Linked DNA regions of Arabidopsis thaliana. The protein of the gene in region 2 purifies or fractionates together with the protein of the main gene of each other region. This does not show direct contact. Each region holds a gene or a part of one and is shown on either strand. Other genes may lie near its edges.

Evidence for each region.
Region 1: the proteins of NRPB6B (region 2) and NRPB8A fractionate together in Arabidopsis thaliana (co-fractionation; one large-scale study listed by BioGRID). This does not show direct contact.

The regions. Positions count from the first base shown.
Region 1 is NC_003070.9:20,253,390-20,257,477, reverse strand, and holds NRPB8A (RNA polymerase Rpb8), read right to left. Parts: upstream 2,541-4,088; 5' UTR 2,434-2,540; intron 2,269-2,433; coding exon 2,190-2,268; intron 1,935-2,189; coding exon 1,777-1,934; intron 1,454-1,776; coding exon 1,362-1,453; intron 1,255-1,361; coding exon 1,143-1,254; 3' UTR 790-1,142; downstream 1-789. Other genes in the region: AT1G54260 (winged-helix DNA-binding transcription factor family protein), read right to left, coding at 1-46, 122-138; AT1G54240 (winged-helix DNA-binding transcription factor family protein), read right to left, coding at 2,984-3,015, 3,091-3,412, 3,510-3,593, 3,836-3,929, 4,025-4,081.
Region 2 is NC_003071.7:1,618,229-1,622,275, forward strand, and holds NRPB6B (RNA polymerase Rpb6), read right to left. Parts: upstream 2,152-4,047; 5' UTR 2,019-2,151; coding exon 1,981-2,018; intron 1,694-1,980; coding exon 1,660-1,693; intron 1,580-1,659; coding exon 1,407-1,579; intron 1,321-1,406; coding exon 1,269-1,320; intron 1,169-1,268; coding exon 1,101-1,168; intron 1,010-1,100; coding exon 940-1,009; 3' UTR 563-939; downstream 1-562. Other genes in the region: AT2G04650 (ADP-glucose pyrophosphorylase family protein), read right to left, coding at 3,758-3,858, 3,930-4,041. UniProt on the Arabidopsis thaliana protein: DNA-dependent RNA polymerase catalyzes the transcription of DNA into RNA using the four ribonucleoside triphosphates as substrates. Component of RNA polymerase II which synthesizes mRNA precursors and many functional non-coding RNAs.

The DNA.
Region 1 (4,088 bases), on a different chromosome or scaffold from region 2:
TTCATCATTAATTGTTGATACAGCCTCAAAAACCATCGCATCATACCTTGCAACAAGGTAAAGAAGAACCTGTTAGAACTTAGAACATACCAATTCTAAAAAATCTCTAAATATAACAAACCTAGCATCATTGCTCATATCAGATGAACTACTAGGAGAAGCCTCATAGCTAACAACAGAACGAGAAGTCTCTGAAGGTGAAGTGAAAATGGAGGTAGATTCGAGTGATTGTGTCCTTGATTTCTTTATATTACGCCATTTATCCTTGAAATTTGGGCAATAAGAATAAACAATACAACATTAATACCCAAATTTCGACCTAATTCCACATAATAAATCTCAAAAATCGATTTCCATGGAAGACGAATGGGATTTTGGGAATTTTCGATTACCTTGAGGTTAATGTTTGTGCGATCTAGAAGTTGAGCCGCGAACTCTGGATCGTCTAAAATACTTGTCCATTTTCCGGAACCGTGCTTGGCTAGTCCGGCGAGAAGGGCTTCCTTCTTCCACCGTCCATTTATTCTTCCGATTTTCTAGTTGTTTTTTCTTTCTCTTCAAGTCGAAATATATACCATTTAGAAGGCCTCATCAAAAGCTTTTATTGGGCCTAAACATGGCCCACTATACAGATTTAAAATTAAATCTTGATCTGTTCAGAATTTTTAAGACTAATCTCGACCGTCCAAGATATATTCTCCCAGTCTCAAAGAAGCAAGAACACAAACATGGACTAGAGAAAACACAAGCATGGATTAGAGAAAACACTCTATTTTTGGCTCAGAATCTATTTTTCGAGCTTTATTGCTTCATATTGTTGTTAGAAGATAAGAGTGTAGTGAAAATTGGTTAGAGAAGAAACAAAACTGTGTCCTTGACCAAAAAAAAAACTGTGTCTTTGTCTGTGTTTTTTGTTATGTTCTTGGTCTCAATTGCTTATCTTCATCAATAGCTTAGAGCTACAAATAGTACATTTCACCGGACCGGAGCAGTCAATTTGTGGAATGGGATTTAAAACGGAACGGAAAAACTTGCTTTTGCACAAGAGTTGCTTCATGAAAATTGCAAGAGTTGAAGTAGTAAAAGTTAAACATTAGATCAAGCTCTCTATTAATTCAGTTTTTATCCGAAAAAATGGCACCTCACAGCTTCCTCATGAGTAGGAAGAGCCTCTGGTCGAGTTCGAAGTGAGAAATGTGAGCTGGATCTCCCTTAAGCAACATCAGGAGGCCGCCAAACGAAACATATAGCTCTCTGGAAACACATAATTTAAAGAAAATAAAATAAAACATGATGGTTTGATATGTGAGTTGAATTGGATTGAATTATTTTGATATGGGGGGGTTATATGGGATTCTTACGCTTTTGGAGTTTTGCCGTCACGCTCAGAGATCTTGTAAAGCTTCCCGTGCATTATGTATTCATACTTATCGGCAAGTGTTTTCTTTGCTCCCTGTAATGTATCGAGATGAAAACTAGATAAGATTAATGTTTAGATATGCATACACATTCTTGGTTTTCAAATTTAGATCTTGAAGATTCAAGAACTAAAGCTTGTTAAAATTCCATGTCTCCTCTTATTCCTAGATAGACAGGCTTCTCGAATCAGCCAACAGAGTTATAATATCAACCATTTAGCAGCATTAACAGTTATATCCTAACAAAATCCAGATACGGGTTCAAAGTTACCATTCATGGAAATTTGGCCAAGCAAACAAGAGACTGTGTATATACTCAAAACAAAACAACTAAATAAAAAGCAGTAGAGTTTATTACCGGAGTAAAATAACCGGTATCAGGGGTTCCATCGAGATTCAGCGTAGGAGCCAACGCAAGTGTGAACTTATCACCAACAGCCAATGGATAAACCTCTGTATTAACATCTAAATGCATAAACATTTCCAAGTTGTGGCTCGTAGCTTGAACGCGAGTAACTGTAACCACAAACACAACAAAAATCATTGTAGGTTTAAGAGAAAGCCACTCAATCTGAAGACAGAACAAAACTTGGGGGAGACTAAAAACTTAAAAAGTTAAATTTTTCCACAAAACCCACACACTCAGACCAAAAAAGGATAAACGGAAGAACTCATTCACAATACATACATGAACTAAACAGCTATGAACAAACGTCGATGTAAGCCATGAGAAGTACTAGAAATCGTGAGTGAGGCTAATAAAGTGTATACCTTTATCGAACTTTTTGCCATCAGGGTCTAACTGATCGACCACGAAGATATCCTCGAACAAGATGATATTGCTCGCCATCTGCAAACACGGAAATTCAAACCCTAAACACTCTTTATTTCCTTGATAAAACCCCAATTAAACCAGTAAACAAGACCTATATGGACATCTAATGAGTACAAGAATCCGAACTCTGAAATCAACTTATAAACAACCAATCGCATAGGAAAGTAAATAGTTCCGAACCAGGAGCTTGAGTTGAGGGAGAGATGGAGAAGCTTGAGATCAAAAAGTTCAGACTTTAATCTCCCAAGCGATGGGCGATAGAAGAGCCAAAAAACAATTAAAGGGACAGACTGAGAACAAAAACTCATAAAAGTCCTATGTAAGCTTATAATGGGCTTACAATGAGGCCCATTATAAAATTGTAATTCTCATAACTAATTTTTTTCTTTCTTGATCAGTATTTGAAATTAATCTCGACCGTTAAAAATACTTGCTAAAGACACCATGACACACTTTCTTTTTTTCTTTCTTATGTTATGTATTAGAAAAACCTATTCAATTCTTAAGATTGGCATTATCTGTAAAAACTTGTATTAACAAAAACTAACAGAATAGTCTGTTGCCTTCACAACCAAAATCATTTAACCACAAAGTAACAAACTATGACTAGTTAGTCAAATGAAATCACATTTCATATCTACACTCTTTTTTTTACTCAAAACCAAAAACACTAAAAAGAAACCGGTGATCGAATATATCCACCTTGAACCGGACCAGAAGGTCAAAGCTTTTACAGCAGGAAAATCTTTTCACCGTTAGCACCTGCAAGGACCAAATCAAATGAAAAAGTCAGTGATGATGATGATGATAAAAGGTTAAGAGGTGGACATTACTTACATCGATTAAGGATTTCTACGGCTAACTGCAAGGTTATGTTGCTTTCTAATTTTAGCAACTGGGCGTGTTTATCTGCAAGTTCGTATGCCTCTTTTGCTTCCAACTCCAAGTGTTCTGCCTCTGCGACTTCTTTTGCTAATGCGATTATCCGAGGATCTACTTCTGTTGTTGGTGGTGCGAAAGAAGCACAAGTACTTGGTGTGTCTTGTGCCTTTGTGCCCGTGGAATCTTCTGGATCCATGGTTTCTCTTTGATTTGAATCTCCTACTGACACAACTGGAGTATCAAATACACCACGGGGGATCTTGTAGAGGTTTCCTACCTGCATTTACAAGTTTTTTTTTCCGTTTTTCTGAACTGATCAAACAAAACTACTGAATCTTAACATTAGTGTGAGGCAACTCTGAAAAACTAGTTACCTTGTATACTTGGCCTTCAGAAACTAGATATCTCAGCTGGTTTTCCAACCGCTCCCTAAAATCTTCCTGTAACTCGTTCCTTTCCTGCAATTTATATTAACCACAAGAACATGATGGTTAGTTGATCAAGAACAACGGAGGAATCAACAAAACCAAGACTTTAAAAGGAAGACTTTTAGGGGATGGAACATGAAGTCAAATTTTCAGATCCTAATGTTCCATTGTGTAATCCCGCTATTGACTCACATTTCAGAACCAATATACACTACTCATGAGATATGACCATGAAACACAGATACTTATAGAGACAGAGAGATCCTCCTAACCTTGATAAAAGTGAAAATCGCATCGACATCAAGACCATTATGATTCTCGTAGACTGTTTCTAAAGCCTGAAAGATCAATTCATCAGTCGTAAACCTGAAACAAAACCAACAAAAAAAGAGTAATATCAAAACATAGATAGACCAGAGAAAACAAAGATTGGTGGTTAAAGAATCGAGAAGGTCACAAACCCAGAGGGACCCCGGTCTTCTTCTGAATCTATCATCATGAGCCTTTCAAGCTGTTCACTGAAAA
Region 2 (4,047 bases):
TGGCTGCAAAAATGTATATGTAGATGCATTATTTTGTACGTTGTGTATCCCAAGGTCTATTTAACAGTTATTTGCTTTGAGTTTAATGCATTATTCTTCTCTAATCCCTGCATTTTTTTTTTTTTTTTTTTTGGAAAATGGTAAATTAGATTCAAAAAAGATAACGTCGTTACAATTAGTGTATCATATGTTCTATATGAAATAGATTGAAATCAGAAATTAGAATGAACAATTTAGTGATTAACTTCAACTTTGAAGCCAGCGTTGGAAACGCATTTGCTTGTCGATCCATTGTATTAGAGTGGCTGCAGATTTTGGAGATTCATCATGACGTCTTCGATTCCTCTCATGCCAGATGGTGTAAACGGTGGTTTGAAAGATGTATTTCATCAAGAAACATGCTACACTATCCTTGCGTTGGGCCGAGACTATGGTGAGTAGTTGAGTCCAGTCACTTGTATAGTGTTGCTGAAACAATCCTCGAGCAAGCGCTTCACATAGTTTTTAACATTACTATTTCTCAACTTCTTTAAACAACATGCATAATTCTTCTCTAATCTTGCTTTTTGATTTTTAGCATCACTCATTTATGCATCAATCGATCTGACTCTGTGAGACGACAAAAGCTGGGAAGTGTGAGAGAAAAGGTTTATCAATTGAGTTGTACTTACTCAATACTCAAACTATTATAGATGTTTTCTTCTTTTGGTTTCACGAAGGATTTTCTTTCTTTGTATATGTACATGCAGGCTTGTCGAAACCCATGTCCAAAAACAACTTGGGACAAAAAATTTGTTGTTCATGCATTTTTGTTGGAGTCCCTGACTCTTGTAGTGTTGGAGAATAGGACAAATGAAGAAGTTCTACATGCGACTATATCGTAAGTTCATAATCCATACAAGAGCAGAAAGCTTTGCAAAACACATAGGCCAGATTTTATCAATCACCACCGACTTGACGTTTCCACGAGTCTTCGACGATCAGTTCATCAACTCCCCATTCCTCGTAACTGATTCAGAGTCATAAGTAAGTCGCAAGAAAAGAAGATATCAAATTTGAAAGAAGAGCTAAAAGTATTGATATAACTAATGCAATCTCACCTCATATCAGGTAGATAACGTCTAATGGTAAATGGAATCTTCCTTTGCCTAAGCTCTTTCATCGCAATCTTAAGCCAAATCATACAATAAACAACACAAATGTTCATATACATATCAACATTTACTGACAAATCATGAAAAACACAACAAGAAGGAAGAAGGCAACACCTCAAGTGGATCAGTCTCACCCTCCAACTCAACCATAACAGGAGCATTCATGCTGTATCAGCCAACAACAGTACATAGAATCAAACTTTCCGAGCCAACTAAACGGTTAATCAACAAAGATTGTTCTCAGTAGCTGACCTAATCTGCAAAGCACGAGTGCCGAGGATACGTGCACGTTCATACTTAGTCATAAACTTAGAGGTTTTACGTGGGCGTTGCACAGGTTCTGTTTCAACCTTATCTTCTGTTTCCAAAGGGTCAACATTAACATCATCGTTCTCCTTGATATCAGCATCTTCCTCTACTCCTTCCTACTCACACCAACACATTCTAATCAGCCTAGTAATAATAATAAGCAATGTCAATCTCTCTTCTACAAATAATAACTTACTTCGATCTCAGGCTCTGCTGGCTCATCTTCATATCTGCAATTGAAAATCACCACATAACATCAACAATTTGAAATCCGATGTATAAGATTCAAACGAAATTAGGGTTTTCTATCTAAACAATATGAAATTATAATCAATGCTACGATGCCAGAACAATAAGCAAATTTTCAAAAAAGAATCTCGTTGATAGACTCTCAAACTAGACAATAATTGATCCAATTGTTCTCAATCGTTTACGATTCGTCGGGAAGAAGAAGATAGAATCAACTGAAATCGAGTACAAATGATACTAACATAGGAAACAGAGAGGGAGAGATTACCCCAAGTCATCGACTTCATTGTAATCGTCGTCAGCCATTAAAGTCGATTTGAGAAATCGCTCTCCTTGCTCTCTCGATAAAACCCTAACGATCGATGCAACTTAACCGAATGACGGAGAATGCGTAAAGAAGACTCTCTATGAAGTTCGGTTTTTAATTGCCGGTTTTCTTAATGAACCGTCTATTCAGACCGGTTTTAATTTCAAACCCCATTTAAGCCCACATGTATTTTTTTTTTTTCCCCTAACATAGCCCTGGGCATGTGGTATTCGGGTCAGGGTCGGGTCGGATTTTTCGGGTTCGAATTTTTGGGTTTAGAAATTTTGGATCCGTATGGTTATATCAACAATTTCGGGTCGGGTTCGGTTCGGCTTCACTTCGGGTCCGATAATTCAGGTATTAGTTAAAAAAACCATAAGTAACCAAAACTATTTCGGGTTTGAGTACTACTTACCCAAACTTTGTCCAAATATACCCAAACATACATAAAAATATCCATAAAACCCGAAAGATCTGAAATTATAACAAGTTTTTCCTTAAGCCAATAATATAAAACAAGAAGTAAACCTTGTTTTAAGCTTGTTCCATAACTCAAATCATTAAACAAGTCACATTATTAGTGTATATATATCCTCATATGTATATATAGGGCTGGGCAAAAAACGGGACCCGATATCGAACCTGATACCCGAACCGAAAAATCGGGTTGGGGTGGGTTAGGGTTTTAAGAAATTACTTCATTGGGTAAAGTTTTAGTAAACCCGTGGGTATCAGGTCGGTCCGGGGTTTATCCGTTACCCAAACAGGATACCCGAACATAGATTTAATATCAAAAATATTAATTATATTTAATCTTAATATAATGTAATAATCTAAAATTATAATTATAAATCTAAATATATCAATTACTTTTAGATCTAAATACCCAACTATTTAAAAATTATTTGTTATGTTTGTCAAAATTTAGTATAATATATCTAAATCTAATTAAATTATTAAAATTTGTTAATATTTAAGGTTTTTTTTTTGTTGGGTACCCGCTATCTACACATAAAATACCCGTTTTCATTTGTTTGGCTATTCTTAGGGCCTGAAATTCTTTACCCAAGCCGACCCGAACCCGAATGTACCCGAACTAGACCGAAATCGAAAATTTTCATTTTACCCTATTGGGTAGTAAATCCATTACCCATTTAACCCGAACCCGAACGGGTTTTACCCGAATCCGAACGGGTTACCCATATGCGCAGCCCTATGTATATATATGTTCGGGTAATAAAAAGTACCCACGGGTATCGGGTTCAGTTCGGGTAATTTCCGGTACCCACGGTTATTTGAAAACAGAACCCGATCAAGTAATTAGCCGGAACCGAAGTAGAACGGGTTTGGTTATTTCGAGTCAAGTTCAGTTCGGTTCTTCGGGTTCCGGTATTATGTCCGGGCCTACCCCCACAAACGAAGTCAAGATAAACAATTTTTCTAGTGAGCAATTTGCACAAAAGAAAGGAGCCTAAGGAGGTATTGAACACTAGTGATTACACAATCAAGAAGCAAAACTTCTTTGATTCCTTGTTATCTTAGATCTTTTAAAACTCTTTCTTCTAAAATCTTTTTAGTATCTAAACACAAAGTACAGTGAGAGTTTACAAATCTTCCATAGTTTCACTTACTCAAAATCTAATCCTGTGAACTCAATTCATGTAATACACAATTCTGTAAAAGTTTCTCTGTTTCAATTAAAAAGAAAAAAAATCCAAACGATAATCATTGTGATAAATCACAAGATGATATCATCTTGAACACTAACATTAAGAGTCTTATTCTGGAGAACAATGCTTCCTATGACTGCTACTTCATCTTCCACAGTTACAGCCTCACCTGCAGAAACAAATTAATCAGAAAAAATATAACGAAAAATTTGTTGAACAAAAAGAAAACAATGAAGTTACCAAGAATGGTAATCCCAAGCCTGTCATTGTAATCTCCACTAGCTTGAACTCTTGACCATCTACCTATAGAAGATTTCCATCCGATAATTGAGTTTATAACAACAGCATTCTCCTGCAT